Rattus norvegicus: one gene and its partners. The protein of the gene in region 3 binds, or shares a complex with, the protein of the main gene of each other region. Links are inferred from orthologs where the notes say so. Each region holds a gene or a part of one and is shown on either strand. Other genes may lie near its edges.

Evidence for each region.
Region 1: the proteins of Kat7 (region 3) and Brd1 are in contact, whole or in part, in a crystal structure (PDB 5GK9), measured with the Homo sapiens proteins. The link is inferred for Rattus norvegicus from reciprocal best matches to the Homo sapiens genes KAT7 and BRD1. Residues at the interface, in NP_008998.1 of Homo sapiens: Leu531, Phe534, Gly536, Lys537, Glu538, Ile539, Ser540, Ile541, Lys542, Pro552, Val553, Val556, Gln560, Leu565, Tyr567, Lys571, His572, Leu573, Val574, Leu575, Lys576; in XP_047297239.1 of Homo sapiens: Val40, Ile42, Glu43, Ile44, His49, Arg50, Ile51, Ser52, Ile53, Phe54, Asp55, Pro56, Leu57, Glu58, Ile59, Ile60, Leu61.
Region 2: Kat7 (region 3) and Jade2 share a complex: the UniProt entries of both Homo sapiens proteins name them as parts of the HBO1 complex. The link is inferred for Rattus norvegicus from reciprocal best matches to the Homo sapiens genes KAT7 and JADE2.
Region 4: Kat7 (region 3) and Jade3 share a complex: the UniProt entries of both Homo sapiens proteins name them as parts of the HBO1 complex. The link is inferred for Rattus norvegicus from reciprocal best matches to the Homo sapiens genes KAT7 and JADE3.

The regions. Positions count from the first base shown.
Region 1 is NC_086025.1:121,698,333-121,703,208, forward strand, and holds the start of Brd1 (bromodomain-containing protein 1), read right to left. Parts: upstream 3,369-4,876; 5' UTR 3,065-3,368; intron 1-3,064. UniProt on the Homo sapiens protein: Scaffold subunit of various histone acetyltransferase (HAT) complexes, such as the MOZ/MORF and HBO1 complexes, that acts as a regulator of hematopoiesis.
Region 2 is NC_086028.1:36,588,754-36,593,089, forward strand, and holds part of Jade2 (E3 ubiquitin-protein ligase Jade-2), read right to left. Parts: intron 2,642-4,336; coding exon 2,525-2,641; intron 1,376-2,524; coding exon 911-1,375; intron 1-910. UniProt on the Homo sapiens protein: Scaffold subunit of some HBO1 complexes, which have a histone H4 acetyltransferase activity. Acts as an E3 ubiquitin-protein ligase mediating the ubiquitination and subsequent proteasomal degradation of target protein histone demethylase KDM1A.
Region 3 is NC_086028.1:80,724,718-80,729,053, reverse strand, and holds part of Kat7 (histone acetyltransferase KAT7), read left to right. Parts: intron 1-1,623; coding exon 1,624-1,815; intron 1,816-3,702; coding exon 3,703-3,792; intron 3,793-3,972; coding exon 3,973-4,113; intron 4,114-4,336. UniProt on the Homo sapiens protein: Catalytic subunit of histone acetyltransferase HBO1 complexes, which specifically mediate acetylation of histone H3 at 'Lys-14' (H3K14ac), thereby regulating various processes, such as gene transcription, protein ubiquitination, immune regulation, stem cell pluripotent and self-renewal maintenance and embryonic development.
Region 4 is NC_086039.1:4,395,319-4,400,448, forward strand, and holds the start of Jade3 (protein Jade-3), read right to left. Parts: upstream 3,310-5,130; 5' UTR 3,200-3,309; intron 1-3,199. UniProt on the Homo sapiens protein: Scaffold subunit of some HBO1 complexes, which have a histone H4 acetyltransferase activity.

The DNA of each region.
Region 1 (4,876 bases), on a different chromosome or scaffold from region 3:
GCTTGGGCAGCACTAACAAATCACCCCACAAAGCTCAGAGTTGAAGACTTCCAAACACATTACAACAAGCCTCCAACAGTAACCTCCCTCACCACACCCAGGTAAAGGTACTGACAGTCAGGGAAGACAGCAGGAAGCTGCAGCCCTCGGGGTTCCTGCTGAATAGCTAGGGCACAGGTGCATTCCACCCACAAGTCACCTTTTTAGACCAAGCCAAAAGTTACCTACAAACAGCAACATAGGTCTCCAGAGCTGAGAGCTTGGCCTCTTGCCCACAAGTCAGACTGTTTTACTGACAGACTTCACAACAGAGACTATGGCCTGTGGCCACCTACTCTTAGCAATCCCTTAGGTCTTTCTTTCTCACTACTGCCCAGCAGAGTGCTCCTGGGAACTTTGTGCTGGGGGCCAGAAGCATCCATAACTCAACAGCATAAAGTAGTCCATTCTTTCCACAAACATCCCATACAGGACTTGAAGGGAACGCTGTGCTGGTCTGTGGGAGATCTTTGCCCCAAGAGCCCAATGGAGCTTTTAGGACGCCTCAGCAGTGACCACCCTGGAAGCTGCCGTGGCAGCACCAGCCTTTCCCTTTCACTCAGGCCAGGACCTGGCTGTGGGCTGGGCCACATACTCTCCAAGTACGCCTAGCTGAGGGCAAGGTATCAAGTGGCACTTCTGCTCTCCTCCTGATACACTTGAAAGTGCTCAGCTCTTGCCCCCCAAAAAAAGGATGGTTTCCCTCAGACCACAGCCTGCAGAGCCCCCCACCCCACCCCTTATCACTGGTTCACATGCCTGAAAACTTCAGAGATGTGTTCATTTCCAGTATGAACAAAACCAGGGAGCTAACAGCCTACACTCCCACTCCTTGTAGTGGACTCCTCACTTTTAGTTTTCTCCGATGCAGATCTTATGTGCAGACGTGCCCACTCTGGACCACTAGTCAAGCAGAATGAACACATGGAGTAACAAGGGCCAGGACCACTCATGCCTCCCACTGAACAAGCCCACTCAACTGACAAGTAGATAAAGACTGACTCCCAAAATATACCAAGTTGAAATGTCAGAATAGCCCACAAGCAGGGCTCTCCAGGAACCCCGAATTCTCAGCTCATACTTATCTTACTAGTCTCTGAGAAAAGCCCTCCAAGAGCAGACTTCATGTTTTAAATCCCAAAAGGAAATCTCTGCAAATCTTATACGCATTTTTAAAGACAGACCTTGCAGATTGCAGAAACCCACATTCTGTAGATACTATCGCTCTATGAACAAGAACAGCAGACCCCAATGCACCTGCATCTGAGGAGCTTCCAGGTGCCTGCTCAGCAAAGGATTCTAAGGGAGCTGTCATCAAAGCAGCCCTAGCCAGCCCTAGGCCTCTAGCAACATCCCTGAGATGAGATAGGTGCAAATCCAGGTGTCAGCACCATATTCTGCACAGAAAGAACCACAGTTCACCTCGGATGCTTCACAATTTACTACTGAGGCAGGCAGAAGCAACAGCTCCCAGATTAAAAACAAACATGTAATTTTCTCCTCTACAGTAAAGTACTGTAACCAGCCTGTCAAACCCCACATTCTCCTAGTGAGCACTGAAGGTCTTTAAACCACTTTTCTACAAGAACTGAACCTAATACTTAATGGCCACAGCTACTCTGTAATTTGAAAATGTAATTGTGACCGGGGGAAAGAGGGCATTTAGAGGCACTGCCCAGCAGTGACCAACAATCTCATCTGCTTCCTCATTTTCATACACCCAGCACTTTGACCCTCTGGCTCTATGCAGGAATGAGCATTTCCATGAAAGAATCAGCAAAGGCAATAAGCATGGTTCTCCAGAAATAACTGTGCTAAACGCATCCTAAAAAGCTTTGTTAGCAGAAAGAGGGAAAGACTCTGCTCAAAATCAGCTCAGTTCATTTCCTGCCTGGTTTGTAGACAAGCCATTTAAACTCTTCCAGCTTCTACCCCTCACTGTGAAAGCACACAGGAAAGACACTTACTCTAAAGTGACAATCTGAGGAGTAAACACAGACTCAGAACAGTGCTAGATCCAACAAGTGATAAAACAGTAACTAAATAATATCAAAATTCTGTAACTATGTGTTACCAGATGACAGATACTCTAAAACAGTCGCGGCTGGGTGAAGTGAATGTCCTCCATTAAGGGGGCGGTTTCCTAGGTGTGTGTAAGTGTGTCACAACTGCAGTGCACGATGAGGAGCAGTGTTTTCTGCAAATTAAGCATAGGAAAGTTGCTTCTCTCCTAAAGGCCCAAGAAAGCCGCGCACGCGCGTTCGTTTCTCGGCGTTTCCTGCACACATCCACGGAGTTTGGCGGAGCTGCGGGCTTACTCCGGAGATACCAGGCCCCGCTCGACTTAGGAAATCTTCCGAGCCCGTCCCTCTTCAAGGGAGTTTCCTGTCTTGGCAAAATAGATCGGACCTATCTGTTACATAATGCGACCGGCTCCGCACCGCCAAGGCTACAGGCGAGGACGTGGGCAGACGCCACGAGACCCCAGGCCTTCCGCCTCCTCCGCTGTCCGACGCCCGTCCCCGCAGTTGCCCCAGCTGCACAGACAGCCGGGCCGCCCAGAGCCCGCCCGGCCCGGCGGCTTCCCCGCCTCCTGAAACCTGCCGCCCGCTCCATTCTCTTGGCCGCCCCTCCCGCGCCGCGGCGGCCTCCTTCTACTCCTCTGTCTCCCCGACCCCGCCGCGGCCTCCGTGTCCCTCTCCGCCCCCACCCGGCTGCGGCCTCCGCCTCCGCGATTTCGCCGCGGCCTCGCCTCCCAGACCCGGCCTCTCGGGCAAGCCGCCGGCACCCATCTCGGCGTCCCCGGCCGCGCCGGCTCACGGCGGCACTCGCCCGCTCGGCCTTCTCAGTTCCTCCGGCTCCCGCGCCCACCAGGCCTCACGGCCTCCGGGCCTCGCCGCCCCGACTCTCCGGCCTCCCCGCCCGCGGACAATGCGGAGCCGCCGCTGCCGCCTCTAAACATGGCGCCTGCACCTCCGCCCCGGCCGGCGAGGCGGGCGGCGAACGGCGACCGTCAGACACTCACCTTCGGGGCGCCGCGGCCGCGGGAGCCCGGCGGGCGGGCGGGCGCGGGGGCCGGCGCGGCCGAGGCGGCGCTAATGGCGCCGCGGCTCCTCCGCCAACGGCCGCGCAGCCGTGCCCCGCCGGGCTCCGGGGCGCGCTCGGCCAGCGGCTCCGGACCCGCAGGGCGCCACGGCTCGGGCGGGGTCGGCGGCGCCGGCACAGCCGGCTAAGGCCGGCTCGGGGCCCGGCCGGGCGGAGGACGCGAACGCGGAGCTGCTCGGACGCCTGCCGAGGCGCTGCTCGCTCCCCAGCGAAGCAAACAATGCGGCGAGCGCTCCGCCCGGCGCGCTGCGTGCGAGACGCGCCCCGCCCGCCGCCGCCATGACGCGCGCCGCACCAAGCCGGGATAAGGGGGCGGGGCGGGACGCGAAGGAGAGAGTGGGGTGACCAGGAAGGGTGGCTCTCAGGGAGTTAGGGTGGGGATCCGGAGCGGGGGATGGGAGGAGTGCTGCAAGAGTGGGGTGACTAGGAGGAGAGTTCTGGGGGAGACAGGATAGGGCTCCTGAGGAGTAAAGGACTGCTGTAAGAGTAGGGTAACCAGATGATGTTTACTGTGGGGTCAGTAGCAGTGAGTAGAGCCAGAATGTTGACCCTAAGGAGCCAGGCGGAGTTTCCTGAGTGCGTGATTTTTAAGGGACTGGTTCTTGAGAGAATCAAGAGGTGCATCCTAAGGGGGGTAAGAGGAGTTCATGAAGGATGAGTTAAGAGGGAATGGAAATAAGGGCTCTGATGAAGGGTCATCAAACAAGGGTAGATCCCTCTGAGGAATAAATGACAAGGATGGGAACCCTAAGGTGGCATAGAAAGGCACTAAAAATGGCACAAGATGAGGTCAGTGGTTGGGTAGGAGAGGGTATGGAAAGGAACTGAGGATGGCTAGCTAGTTACTGTGACAAGTACTGGAGCTCTCAGAAACTATGGGGCAGCCAGGGGGCATGCCCTCTTTTTTTGTTTGGTTGTTGGTTGGCTTTTGGTTTTGTTGTTTTGAGACTAAGTATTTCTGGCTGTCTGGAACTCACTATGTAGACAGAGACCTGCCTCCCTAAAAGCATGGGCTGCCACGCATGTGACTTAGGCCTTCCTCTTACAAGCACTGCCCTAGTAGAGGTGATTAAGCATTGATGTCTACCTAGGACCTGGTAACACTATAGAGCAGCAGTTCTCAGCCTTCCTACTACTGTTGACCAATGTTGTGGTGACCCCCCCCCCAGCCATAAAGTTATTTCATTTCTACTTCATAACTATCATTTGCTGCTGTTATGGATGTAAATATCTGATATGCAGGACCACTAAAGGGGTCGTGGCTCACAGGTTAAAAACTTCTGCTGCCCAGCCTTGAAGGTTTCAAGATCAGGGCCCTATGACTTGGACTGGTCCCACTCTCCAGCTCATTCCTTCTACTTTAGTCTTTAGTTTAAAAAGTTAGTGGCTTCTTGAGAATGTTAATTATGAGATTAATCTCTAAATATTTCGAAATGTGGGTGAAGACTAGGTGGCTCTTTGGTTGCCTTGGAAGTCTTGTGTCAGATGTCGTGTGCCTGTGACATTCAGGACAAAGCTTTCCCTCAGGAGCGGAGCTGCTTCCCCCACAGGACAGGCAGGGCAGGCTCCCTGCTCAGGCTATACCACCAGTTACTGGAACAAAGCAGTCTGCTCGGTTATGCATCCATGCCAGGTCGGGGCTGGAGCCCCATGAGCTTTCCGCTGGCCAACTCTCATATCCCATTGTAGCCAAACTATGGGCTGGAAAGTAGTTGTTTTGTTGTTGTTTTAT
Region 2 (4,336 bases), about 44 Mb from region 3:
TTACAGACCGGCTCACTGAGGCCCAGATGCAAAAAAGAGCAGCCAATTCCAAAGACCCTCTGAGGCCTCCAATCAGGACTGTTTAACACAGCCCCAGAAGGGATGACACGTCCACTGGGTCTGTGAAGGATACCGACATGATCCTACAATTCTCTGAACTCTAGAATTCAACGCTCAGAAAGGAGATGACGGAGCGGCTCCTGGGTTCAGAGGACTGGTCTATGATCTAGACACGTTCACCTTCCTCAGCCCCACACAGACCACCAGAGAACAAGCCACAGTTCTGTCCCCGATTCCTAAAACAAAGATGAAAGTGTATGTGGCTTGGTCACCCAGGCCAGGCCTGGGAACGCCTCTGTGGGGCAATGTCTGTCTGGTGTGTGTCATCTGACCCGATCCCTGTTCTCTGCCTGCCTGGCAGCCTATGGGAATCACATCCTGCACCACTCACCCCTGCCTACCCAGTTCTGGCCAGCACAAGCATGCCTGGTAACTAGATAACCCCACAATCCCAATCCCTACTTCTTTTTTTTTTTTTTTTCTGGAGCTGGGGACCGAACCCAGGGCCTTGCGCCTAGCAAGCGCTCTACCACTGAGCTAAATCCCCAACCCCCCCAACCCCTATTCTTAATATGTCAGGACAGAGGTATTTTGGGTAACATTGGCTCCTTTAGTCTCAGTCACCATCTATAAAGGTCAGAAGGGAAACTGCAGGCAAGTGGGCTCCAGTAGCCTTGACTCCTGTCTCCACAGGTCACCTTCACCAAGACCTCTGAAATGGCTGGAACAAGAGAGACTCAAAGACTGAGTATGAGTATCTCTCCTCCCATTGTGCCTTCTAATCCTGTTAGCCTTTACCCTCCCCCTCCTCTTGGCTGTCCCTTCCACCCACCCCACCAGGGCTACTTACCCTCTCCAGGTCCTGCCGCAGGTGGGTGAAAAGCTTCAGGCGTCGATAAAGGACATCCTGCTCCTGCTGGGCCAGGTTGTCCACCTCGTCAGTCTTGGGCGTCAGCAGTGGCTGGTTGGCATTAGCTCTCCTCTTCAGCTTCCAGTACTGGTAGATGAAGTCCACCAGTGCCTCAGCCAGGTCTAGCCGTTCAGCCACCTCAGCTGGCTCCACCAGCTCATAGAAGTTTTCTTCCAGCTGCTGCAGCCGCTGCTTGCGTAGGGTCACCTTTTCCAGATCCTCAACGGCCTGGCTGGGCTCCACAGGCTCAGAACTAGGCTCACTTCGAGGGCCCCCATCACTGTGCTCCTGGCAAAGTGACTTGAACTTGACCTCGTCATTGTCGGCTAATATAGTCCGCATTTCCAGGCCTCGGTCGAAGGCGCAGGTAACGTGGAATGCTGTGAGGCAGGAAGGCGTGGAACACTGGAGAGAAGGGAAGGGCGCGTCAGGCATTAAAGGAGCGCTGGGCGCGGGCGGGCGGGGGGGGGGGGGTCTAAGCACCGAGGAACACACACAGTGCTGGGGAGACACTATGTAAAATGGCACAGGCTCCAACATTAAAGGAGAAACAGGAGCCCTGGGGCACCTGGAGAGGTGACAGCGAATTCCAAACATACTGAAGGAGCCAAGAATCAGAAGGTAATGTCCCCTTTGTGGGGACAAGAAGCACTGTCCTGTGGGCAAGTGACTTTGGGATTAGAGGACAGGGGTAAACGCCTGAAGAGGGTCACAGTCTCCTCTATTGCAACTGTCATCCAAGCCAGGAGTCTGTCCTGGTGCTACTCTCTGAGAGCACCTGGATCTCCACCTTCTCTTATCGAAGCAGGTAAAGGCTCTGACCATTCCTCCCAGCCCTCGATGGGGACTGGACCACTGGAACCTGTTCATCAACAGTGTACCCAACATCGGGTACCATCGCCACCTTGTCCAGAACCCTTCTGGAGGTCTAATAAATGGGGTGGAGGCACATTTGCAAGGATGACTGTGTTCTTGGGGAGATGAGAGGGACCAAGGAGAGCTTCTACCCCACAGCACAGACCAGAAGCCATACTGGCAAACCCTGCTTTGTGAAAGAAAGGAAGTTCACCCCCCCTTCATGTCTGAATCAGAGCCACTAGAGCTTACAGCTTCTTGTGGTTTCAATGCCTCAGGTGATCCTGATGATCACCAAGATGGGAGCCGCCATCACAGGTAGACCAGTAAGCCCCTGTATTAGGTCAGGAAGGCACATCTGCTGAGCTGGAGAGGAATTCAGATTTCTATTCCTCTCACATGTCAGGGTTCCAGTCTAAAAAGCCAATGAATCATCGAGCCCAGGGACACTTGCTCTGGTGGGGAAAGCCAAGTTCTTAGTATTCCACGGGTGGGGTCTGTCCCCATTCCTTGGAAGCCTGGGGACAATTGAATGTGGGTGAAGTACACAGGTGGACCTTGTTGTCCTAAGCCTCTAGGGTCCATCAGTGGTGTAGCCACAGGGGCTAGGTGGTGGTAAGAACTGGTATTTCAGGTACCTCGGTGCTTCTGTCTGGTAACACGGCAGTTCCGGGTAACAGAAGGAAGCAGGCCACATACCTGGATGCAGGTTCCCGTGCACTCCTTGCAGAGGCTGCAGGACAGGGCCCAGCGGCTGGCGGGAATATGTGAGATCTTGGTAATGGGCTCCATCTTCTCTGGACAGCCAATGCTGACCTGGGCAGAATACAGAGAGCTGCATCAGTCCCCAGGTGGGATCCAGTCACTCATAGCCAGATAGTGAGCAGACGGAGTTGTGGATTCAACTCACAAGTCCTAAGTCCTCTCTGTCTTCACACTTACAGAGCTGAAGGTCTGAGTTCCCAATCCTGGCCCAATCACGTACCTGTTCACTTGGAACCAGGCCCAGAGTGTGCATGTATGCGAATGTGGCTGGCTAGGAGAAGCATGTACCCGGGACTGTAGACTTTGAGACATGCAGGTGCATGTGTACATGTGTACGTTCATGTATGCCACGGCATAGGTGTGGAGGTAGAGGACAACTTGCAGGAGTAAGTTTCCCTGCCACTGCGTAGGTCCTGGGGACGGAGCTCAGTTTGTCAGGGTTGGCAGCAAAGATCTTTCCTGCTGAGCCACCTGGCTGGCCCTCAAGCATGGGGTCCTCAAGAGGTCAGTCTCTCTGCCATAACCAGGAGAAAGGGCACCGAAAAGCAGTCCTGGCCTTCAAGATGAAAATCTGACACAAATAACCCCTACCCCAGAAATGGCAAGGTGGGGGGATGGGGATTTAGCTCAGTGGTAGAGCGCTTGCCTAGGAAGCGCAAGGCCTTGGGTTCGGTCCCCAGCTCCGGAAAAAAAAAAGAACCAAAAAAAAAAAAAAAAAGGCAAGTGGACCCCAGTAGGAACCTCTGGATAAGGAACCAGGAAGGAAAGAGTCACGTGCTGACAGGGTCTCCTAGCCTGCTTCTAGGCATGGACAGCCCTGGACAGGCATCTCAATATAGAAGAACTGACCACAAAGCCTTAGTGAAGATGGCTACCATGGACCCAGCCTGCTGTCCACGGCCCCTCCAAGTCACAGGCTACCTCTGCAGCCACAGGAGCAGGCCCATTATCCAACTTCCTACTGCACTAGGGGATCAGCTGCCCTTTCGCTTGGTTTTGTGACAGGGTTATCATGTAGCCCAGGCTAGCATCAAATTCAAGTGGATGATGGCCTTGAACTCCTGATCTTCTACTCCCATCTCCCAAGTGCTGGATCTGCAGGCGTATGTTACCAAGGTTGGCTTCATTCTGATTTTAACCAGAACTTTGTTTTGATAGATTCCATAATCTGAGACTCAGCCCCCACCCCAACCCCTTTGCTTGACTAAGGTCTGGACCTCAAATTGTCCCTCCTGAATGTCCCAGTGCCTCAGAGTTGAAGACCAGACCTATGACCAGGTTCGCAGACAATGTTCCAAGTTATTCCTAGACCTGTCTGTGAGGGTTTGAATATGCTTGGCCCAGGGAGTGGCACTATTAGGTATGGCCTTGTTGGAGTAGGTGTGTCACTGTGGGTCTGGGCTATAAGACCCTCACCCTAGCTGCCTGGAAGCCAGGATTCTCTTGTCAGCCTTCAGATGAAGATGTAGAACTCTCAGCTCCTCCTGCACCATGCCTGCCTGGATGCTGCCATGCTCCCACCTTGATGATAATGGACTGAACTTCTGAACCTGTAAGCCAGCCCCAATTAAACGTTGTCCGTATTAAGAGTTGCCTTGGTCATGGTGTCTGTTCCCAGCATTAAAACCCTAACTGAGACACTGTCTGAGTCTTCATGGGAACCTAACAGACCCTTTTTTCCTATGTTCTGTCACCTAAATTCTGCTAGGTCCAACCCGAGCTCTCCACACAGCCCCTCCCTCTGAA
Region 3 (4,336 bases):
CGCACCCCCTGCTCACCCTTCCCTCCTGTGTCTCCCTTAACTGGAAGATCCAGTTTGCTTGAGGTTGGGGCCGGGGTGCTTAAAACTTATTTTGTAGGTGCCTTTTATATCTACTAGGTGAAATGTACAGTCTGGGAACCTAGGACTTCGGTGTATAGCACCGTCCTCTTTATAGGGTTTCTTTCCATTTCATCCATTTACCCTAAAAGCATGTAAATAACAGCAAAGAAAAATGGGGAAGGCCAGATATGTTGTTGAATTTGTTGATTTTTTTGATAAGGAGATCTTATCTTGTTGCCCAAGCAAGTTTGAGACTTCTGGGCTCATTGGTACGTGAGATATCTAGGCAGAAGTGCTCCTTTTGTTTGCATTTGATACAGTACCTGTGGCTGGCCTAGAAAACGTTGTAGAAACTGATTTTACTTATGATAAAACAAATTAAATGTGCTCAGGGAAATTGAGTTTGTAGTGTTAATTTCATTTCCTTCCCTTCTTTTTAAAAACATTTATTTTTACTCACTTTATATCCCGTTCATTGCCCCCTTCCCCATCACCCCTTTCATCATCCTTCTCTCCTCCCCCTCCTTCCTTTTATTATGAGTTGCAAGAGGCAGGTTTGGTGGCTGCTCTGGTCTGGGATTGGTCGCCACCTCCTGCTCTTCCTTTCCATCATGAAGATCATTGCCTCAGGCCAGCCAGGTCCTACTTCTCCAGCTGGTTACTGCAAACAGTAATTGCCTGTTGTGCACCTGGAATCCAAGCCCTAGTCAGGGAGGAGGACCAGGAGGATAGCCGCAGAGGTCAAACCTGAATAGCCTCGAGATCTGTAGGAGGAGAGAACTGACTCCCCACAAGCTGCTCTGATCTCTACTTGTCTTTACATACACACACAATAACCAAACATTAAAAATAAAAACAAACAGAAGTGGGCTGGGACTATAGCTTTTTTGGTAGTGTACTTATCTGGGATCCAGGATACCCTGGGTTCCATCTCCAACACCACATAAATCTGCTGTGGTGGCACGAACCTGTGGCCACATTATCTGGAAATGAAGGGAGCCAATTCAGGAGTTCAAGGTCATCCCCATTATATCCTCATTTGAGGTTCGGTTAAAACACAAAAACGTTTTTTCTTTTAAAGATAGCTGGGCAGTATAGCTGGCCCATTTTCTATGAACGTGCCTTATTTATTTATTTATTTATTTATTTATTTATTTATTTATTTATTTTTATGCTCAAGTAACACATTAGTAGCCATCTATGGACAGAGGCCAAATCTAGCTAAGTCTTTTTATACCTTAGTTGCTGGCCTGGTAGAAATTGTTAAGAATAAGGGTAATAGAGGCTGGAGATAGCTCAGCAGTTAAGAGCATTTGCTGTTTTTGCAAAGAAAACACATTGAGTTCCCAGCACCCATATGGTGGCTCACAGCTACCTATAACTTCAGTTTGGGACGTCTGATGCCCTTTTCTGACATGTGCAGGCATGCGTGTGAGGTATAAACACATGCACACATGCATGCATGTTTATGCACAAACAAAACATACATTATTGTGTAGATAAAAATCTAATTTTAAAACCAAAGATAAGGATTTATTTGTTTTGGTTTCTTCTTGTCAATAGGAGAAGTTAAGGCTTCAAGGCCAAATCACAGAGGGAAGCAACATGATTAAAACAATTGCTTTTGGCCGCTACGAGCTGGATACTTGGTACCATTCTCCCTATCCTGAAGAATATGCACGACTGGGACGTCTCTACATGTGTGAATTCTGCTTAAAATACATGAAGAGCCAAACGATTCTCCGCCGACACATGGTGTGTTTTCTTGTTCACATCACGAGGGGATGTTACATGGTTTCCCAGTTATGTTCCAGAGATAGCATAAGTGTCCAAAAAGTGACATTTCCCAAGTGTCCACAGCAATAGGGTGGAGACTTAAGGAACTGAAAGTCACATTTCTGGGTAACCCTTTGCCCGGACCAGTGCTGCATAGCATCTTAACTACACCCTGTCCATAAACGTCTTTTCTTCTTGTTTTTTGTCTTTTGTTGTTTCTTCAGCACATTAATTACCTCTCCCTACAGTTTGTGTTTGTACCAAACTTAATGAAACGCATATATTCTGTTAGATAGAACAGGACACTGTGGCTCATATGTTAGATGGCAACTGTCTGTCTTGGGTGAATACATTTTATAAGAGATTTCCATCTTTAACAGATGATGAAAAGAACGGTTTGCATTTCTTAAAGTTCTCTGTATTAACTAGGAAAGGATGTGCATAGTTGGCTCTGGTGACTTCTGTGAGTATAGAGGTCAGGTTTGGGGAAATGCAGGCTTCTCCTCTCCATTGCTTCAGGAATAATCATGAAATGGCTTCTTTAGCTTGGCAAATGTTTCTAGACACATAACTGTTGCATTAATTTGGTTATCCTGGAAAGAACCAGCAGGAATAATGGGAGGAAATAGGAATATAGATGGAGCTTTGAAACAATTCCGGTTAATACATGCTTTAGTCCCCTGTGGTAAGTAGGACATGATATCCATGCCTTGCATACCATGTCCCTGCCACCCGGTCCCCACCATCAGCTAAGCAGGGAACACAGCCTCGCCCTTAATGGATATTGTACCACTGAGCTATATTCCTAAACCTGAAATACAGTTCTTAGAGGATGTGATGTGATTTTTGCTTTAAATAGGGTCTCTAGCTTAGGCTGGCCTCACTTGTAGTTTTCCTATCTCTTTTGCTTGAGTGCTCACATGACCAGTGCGGACCAACCACAGGTCCAGTGACACTTTATGCTTGAGTTGTCAGAGAGATGGTAGTGAATTGTTTAATAAGAAATTTTCTATATGTATAAACTTTGTGTGTGGAATGCTCATGCATGTGTGCACATGTACATACACACCATAGCACACGTGTGAAAATGAGAGAACATTGTGGGAGTCAGTCGGTTCTCTTCCACTATGGAGATTCCCAGAATTGAATCTGAGTCATGAGGCTTGGCAGCAAACGCATGTACCTGCTTTGGCTTCTCGACTGCAGGGCCCGGGCTTACTTCAGTAGTAGAGAACTTGCATTGCTGCCAAGATGGCGGGTGCTAGCTCCAGGGCCATGAATTGAACATTTTGAGAATAAGGAAAAGAGTTTGGAACCAAGTACCTTTCAGCTTCCTGCTGCTCAGCCAGGCCTCCTACCTTTTCAAATAAGCCTGGAAGGACTTCTGTTTATCTGACATATGGCAGGGGGTGGGCAGATAGCGAGCGGCTCACGATCCTCCTTGTGCAGACACATGATGAGGTAGGGTGGTAATGGGAAGAAGCGACTGGCAAAGGTGAGCAGAGCATACTTAGCAACACTAAGCTGCTTAAGAACTTCCTGTTGGCTTGCAGTATTTTATTGTAAGCAAGGATATTCTTATTCATCTAGCTTTTACGTAGTAGGTGATTTAATATCTTGGGCTGAGATAATGCCAAAAATAATCCAGAAAACTTGAGCCAAACAGCCATATGCGTCCTCAGATAGATCGCAACAGCTTAAGAAAGCTATAACTTTTCTGAAAACAATCGGGCTCACTGTCCCCAAGTGCATTCAGTCATCTGTTAACTCAGCTAACCACATTTATCCTGTGGTTCCTTTTCCCAGGAAAGGAACAGGGTGGTAGGGAAATCTTGACTGCTTCATGTGAACTCCATTCTCTTGTAGGCCAAGTGTGTGTGGAAACACCCCCCTGGTGATGAGATTTATCGCAAAGGCTCCATCTCTGTGTTTGAAGTAGATGGCAAGAAAAACAAGGTAAAAGGTGGTGATGTGAGAAAAGGAGACACAGTGGTGGGGTTCCAGAGGAAGATTTTGTCTTCGAGAGAGATAGGAATTAGTTCCATTTGTGGATAGTATTGATATGATCATTCTTTCTAGACTTCGATTTGGTTGAGAAGTCACTGGACTCCACACAAACACTCTTTCTGCTTCCAGATCTACTGCCAAAACCTCTGCCTTTTGGCGAAGCTTTTTCTGGACCATAAGACCTTATACTACGATGTAGAGCCCTTCCTGTTCTACGTTATGACAGAAGCAGACAATACTGGCTGCCACCTGATTGGATATTTTTCTAAGGTTAGCAGGATCTGGTGATTTAGAAGCTTAACCACAATGGGAGGCATCATGGGTATTGGCATTAGAGGCTCAGATCTCTGAGGAAGTGGGTGACAGTGATAGTCTTCCCATAAGCAAAATAAGAAAGGCAAACGTGTATCGTAGAAAGCTTCCTGACAGGATTCTCTTCAGGATCTTCCTCTGTTACCTGGGCTGACTGGGAGTCATGCCTTAGACTGGCATC
Region 4 (5,130 bases), on a different chromosome or scaffold from region 3:
GTATCTTAATTATGATATATTTAAACTAAAGCCTTATATTCTACTGTTCCATTTGTAAGGCTAAATCCAGGTTTCCAGAAATTATTTTTCCTCTTAATTCCAATTGTTTGTCTGTTTCATGGGGTTTAATGAAAGTTAGATGACTTTCCTTAATGCATCCTAAAATGTAAAAGATATGACAGTAACACATATACAGCAGAAGACTCCCAGATCTGAGTTCAGTCAGAGAAGATGCACTTAATCCTCAAGAGACTAGAGGCCTGGTGGGGTGGGTAGGGTATAGGGACATCCTTGTGGAGACTGGGCGGGGGCGAGGAGGAGGTATGGGATGTGGAACAGTCAGAGAGTAGACCAGGAGGGGAATAAAATCTGGAGTGTAAAAAATAAATAAATAAAAAAGATATGAAACGGGGTTGGGGATTTAGCTCAGTGGTAGAGCGCTTGCCTAGCAAGCGCAAGGCCCTGGGTTCGGTCCCCAGCTCCGAAAAAAAGAAAAGAAAAAAAAAAGATATGAAACTAATTAAACTTCTTTCTACCAGCATTCTGAAGTGCAACCTTCTTTTTAGCATGGCAACTCTTCTTACAACATTCACAGAGACAGTCCAAGTTACCTACCTACATTTTGGCATAGGTTTTATACAGAAACATAGCTTATATTGGAATGCAATATGGAACACTGAAGAAATGACAAGGCCTTTTTAGGAACCACTGAATACTTTTCTAAGTACTCACACATACAGTTTAGGAAAGGCTTAATACCTTCGAGTAGACTATGCTTCTCTTTAAAATAAAGCACAAGCTCCTTAATGAGGTTCCATAAAGTCTATCAATCTTCTGCCTACCTCATCTCTCTTTTCCCAATGTATCCAAACCTCTGTGAATCCTTTATTCCTGCTCCACCTCAGTACTGTCACTACCTGTTATTTCCTCCACCTGACAATCTTTCGCTCTTCATTTTACCTTGCTTATTATGATTTATTCTTGAGGTTCCAAGGGCACTCCATTGGTCAGTCACAGAGGAATTAATTTTCTCTCTCTCTCTCTCTCTCTCTCTCTCTCTCTCTGTGTGTGTGTGTGTGTGTGTCTGTGTCTCTGTCTCTCTCTCTGTGTGTGTGTGTGTGTGTCCTTGGGCAAGTTGACTCTGCTTCACCATTTCAAGATTCACAACTCTAAGAGATATCCTCTGCTCAGAGAGCTATCACGGTTGCTGTTATATTTACTATCCTGTAAGGTAACTCCCATCATCTTTCCTAGCACAACTAACAATAAGATATTTATCTGTTAAAAAAAATTTGAAATTTCTGCTTGGATTCTACCTTAATACTTAATATTTTTATGTTACTCCCAACATAGTGTATTTTTTGTAAGAGGAGATGAAATGAATGTTTATAGAACAACTATTACTTCAACTAAATCCTCACTACCATCCTTAGAAATATGACTTGGCACATGAAGAAACTCAGGCATAGAGAAGTAAAGTAGCCAACATCAAGTGGAAGAGCCAGAATTTGAGTCCAAGTTTGCCTGATTCCATTGCCTGTGGTGGATATATGACCTCAAAGGATTCCTAACTCATGAACCTTGTCATCTAAGAGTCAAAGGCCTTAGAGATGGGTATGTTCAGTTGCATCCAGTTAAGTGGCTCCTAGATGTCTCTCTTTAGCTCCTCAACAAGTCCTCTGTTCCCATCAGCAGAGCATTCCTCCTCCTGGGAGAAGATTCCTTACATTCTTTCCACTGGACATTAAACTCTTAAGGGGATGAGTATCTTTTACCTTTTACACCCCAGTAAATAGAAAGCACTCAGTATGTTTGCTGAATGAATTAAATGGTGGCTTTATTAATGGCCACAAAACTTAAGTGTTTCGTGGAATTAAAACTTGACACAGGAAAGAAAACATGACAAGAACGGTGAAAGGGAAAGGTTATCTTAAATACTTTTACAATTGGTCATGAGTTCTCTACCTAACATCAGAGATTCTACTAGATTTACAAACATATGCTTGGTAGCTACACAGGGACTTTACGTCTGGGGCCCTGCCTTACACTACCAGTGGTTTCATCTGAGACACTCTTCACAACAGGACGGCCTTGACAAACAGCACTCTCACTGTTTATGCTCAAATGATTTGTAAAAAGAAACAGAAAGAGTGAATGAAAACAAACTGCTGATAACTCATGACCTTGGATAAAGGGAATACAGTGAGGTTTTATACCAATCTTGCAATATTTTTGAAAATTATAATATTTTATCAAAATTAAATTTTCAAAATCTAGAAAAGAATAATACCAGCAAGTTTCCCAGAAGATTTCAACAGAGGGTCCAGTGTACAGACCAAGCTGATATCACATTCTTTTGTTAGCTAGTTCAAAAACAACATTCCAGCCAAGCATAGCTCATGCCTTATAATTCTAGAGCTCAAGAGGCTGAGGCAGGAGGATAGTGAGTTGGAAAGCTAGTCTGGCCTACAAAATAAAACCTTGTTCCAAGGGCTGGGGAGATGGCTCAGTGGTTAAGGACACTGACTGATCTTCCAGAGGTCCTGAGTTCAATTCCCAGCAACCACATGGTGGCTCACAACCATCTGTAATGGGATCTGATGCCCTCTTCTGGTGTGTCTGAAGACAGCTATAGTGTACTCATACATAAAATAAATAAATCTTAAAAAAAAAACCTGTCTTAAAACAACACAACAAAAAACCCCACACTGGCTTAGGTATCTTTGCCTATCAACAGGTATCAGAGGAAAATGTTCTCTTTGGATAGTGGGGCATAGCCACAGCTTCTGAGTTAGAAGAGAAAAATTATTTATAGCTTGAAGGGTACCCATGATATCACAGATGTTTCCTATTGGCCAAAGTCCCAATATAACTTCTTTTTTACCTTAGAAATATTTTTTATCATACTGTGTTTTTAAAGAGTTATTTATTTTACATATATGAGTGCTCTGTCTTCATGCGCACAAGAAGAAGGAATCAGATCTCATTACAGATAGTTGAGTGCCACCATGTGAGTGCTGGGAATTAAACTCAGGACCTCCAGAAGAGCAGCCAATGCTTTTAACCACTGAGCCATCTCTCCGGCCCCTATAACTTCTTCTTGCCAGATTCATTTTCTTCAGGGCAAATCAAGACTCCTAGGTACCCACAAGAACACGCACATCCTCATGTTCAGAAAAACAGCACTTTGAGTTCTTACCTTCCCTTCCCAAGTCTGGCAGATTGGATTAGGCAAGTTTTTCCCAAAGACTCAGCACAGAGGCACTTTTGATTATAGGAGCCTTGCTTTTGCTGTCTATGGGAAGACCTACAGAGAGGACACAAAACAGATCATGGGAGAGTCACAAAGACAAAAACTTAAAGCAGTAAACTGGGTCTGCAATGATCACCTGCTAGCACCCTCTTATTCATTCATTACTTCTAACCATTCATTCTAGATTCTCCCCACCCCACAAACCTGTATAAAGATGAAAATGCTTTAATTTTCTTAGCCACAGTAACTAGAATCCAAACTTGTTAATGAGTCAAATGTCCCCACTTCATAAAGGTATCTGGGTAAGGGGTAGCTCAGTGGTAGAATGCTTGCTTAGCATGTGCAAAGCTGTGGGTTCAATTTTCAACACCAAAAATTATGGCTAAGATAGAGCCAGATGGGTATCACCCAACAGCCACCTCTCATCTAGAAAAATGAGGCAAGTAAAGATCACAGTAAATTATACCCTAATGAGAGATTATCTTAATATAAATCAGCATATCAGTTCTATTTTCTTCAGCTCTTGTTTTTTTGTAAGCTCCATGAAGAGGTATGTACATTATATCCCATGATAATATTCAATCTCATTTTTAGCCTCTCTCTGTATCCTTGATCAAAGCTTCTAAGATCTCTCTAATGTCACATCTCCATAAAACCTGGTATCTCCTGATTCCCTTACCACTCTCAAAATAAGTGACTAGTTTCAGTTAGACCTCAAAGTTTAAAAAAAAAAAACAGGGATGGCTTTGTATAGCTTAGAGGACAAACATTTGTTATGGTTTGTAGAACACGAGAAAGGGGTAAAACAAGCAGTATCAAAGGAAATGGCCAAACAAAACCTATGTCTTCAACAACCTTGTACTTTAGCTTTTACTATGTCTTAGGTATGATAACTGCCCCTGAATCATTAGCTGTGATGATACTGAGAATCTCCTCTACAGGCAAGAAAGTGGTTCACAAGTGTTCCAAAATCTTGTGTGTCCTGAAAACAGTCTCCAAGTCATTCCTAGGTACTTTATTTTTAACTGCCGATGACCAAGATTCATATCTCAGTGCCATGGCTTGACTCAGAAAAGAAGAGTGTGGATCCTGAAGTTAGAACACCATAACCTGTATTATTCCAGAAGTTGCTGACAAAAAAAAAACCTTTGAGGAACAGTATTGTATTTTAAAATATTTTAAAGCAACAGTATTGGAATAAGAGCTCTTCTCTAGTGAACAGAGGTGTAAAAAACACATGTGACAGGAAAGATGACAATAACTAATGTTGAGAGCTTAATGTGAACTGGGGTACTCTTCAATTTAATATGAACAGCATCCTCCCTCTCCAATTTCTGTAATCCTTGATGTGAGAGTTTATCCTCTGATAATTTAAGTATTTGAAGTCAGAGCTCGTCTAAAATAAAAAAGAAAATGTTAGTTATAGAAGTAGAATACTCTTAAAGTTAAACAAAAAAGAAAAAATCTATTTTTACTTATCCAGAATCATCACATAATGTGTAAGAACGTCACTATTTAAATGTACAAAGGCTAGGCTCTACATTCCTACTATTACAGATATTATAGAAATATTAAACTAAATAAAAAACAAAGTGCACTCTGCTCTTCTCCCCGCCCTATTTTCCACCCCCCAGGGCTGACTAGAAGTGGCTGCAGGCAAGGTATTTAAGAGAAGCACTCTGGGAAAGAGGATTGTGGCTAGGGTTAACTAGGCAACGATGTTGTGCAACCAGTTTCTACCTATTTTTTTTTTCATTACTTTTCGGAGTTTTGAGAGTAGCAGTTATCTTTATCTGACTGAATGCAGGGAATGAGGTCACCTTTCCCTTTAGGACACTGAAATCTGTCACTATGGTTTTGATTTCTTATACAATCAA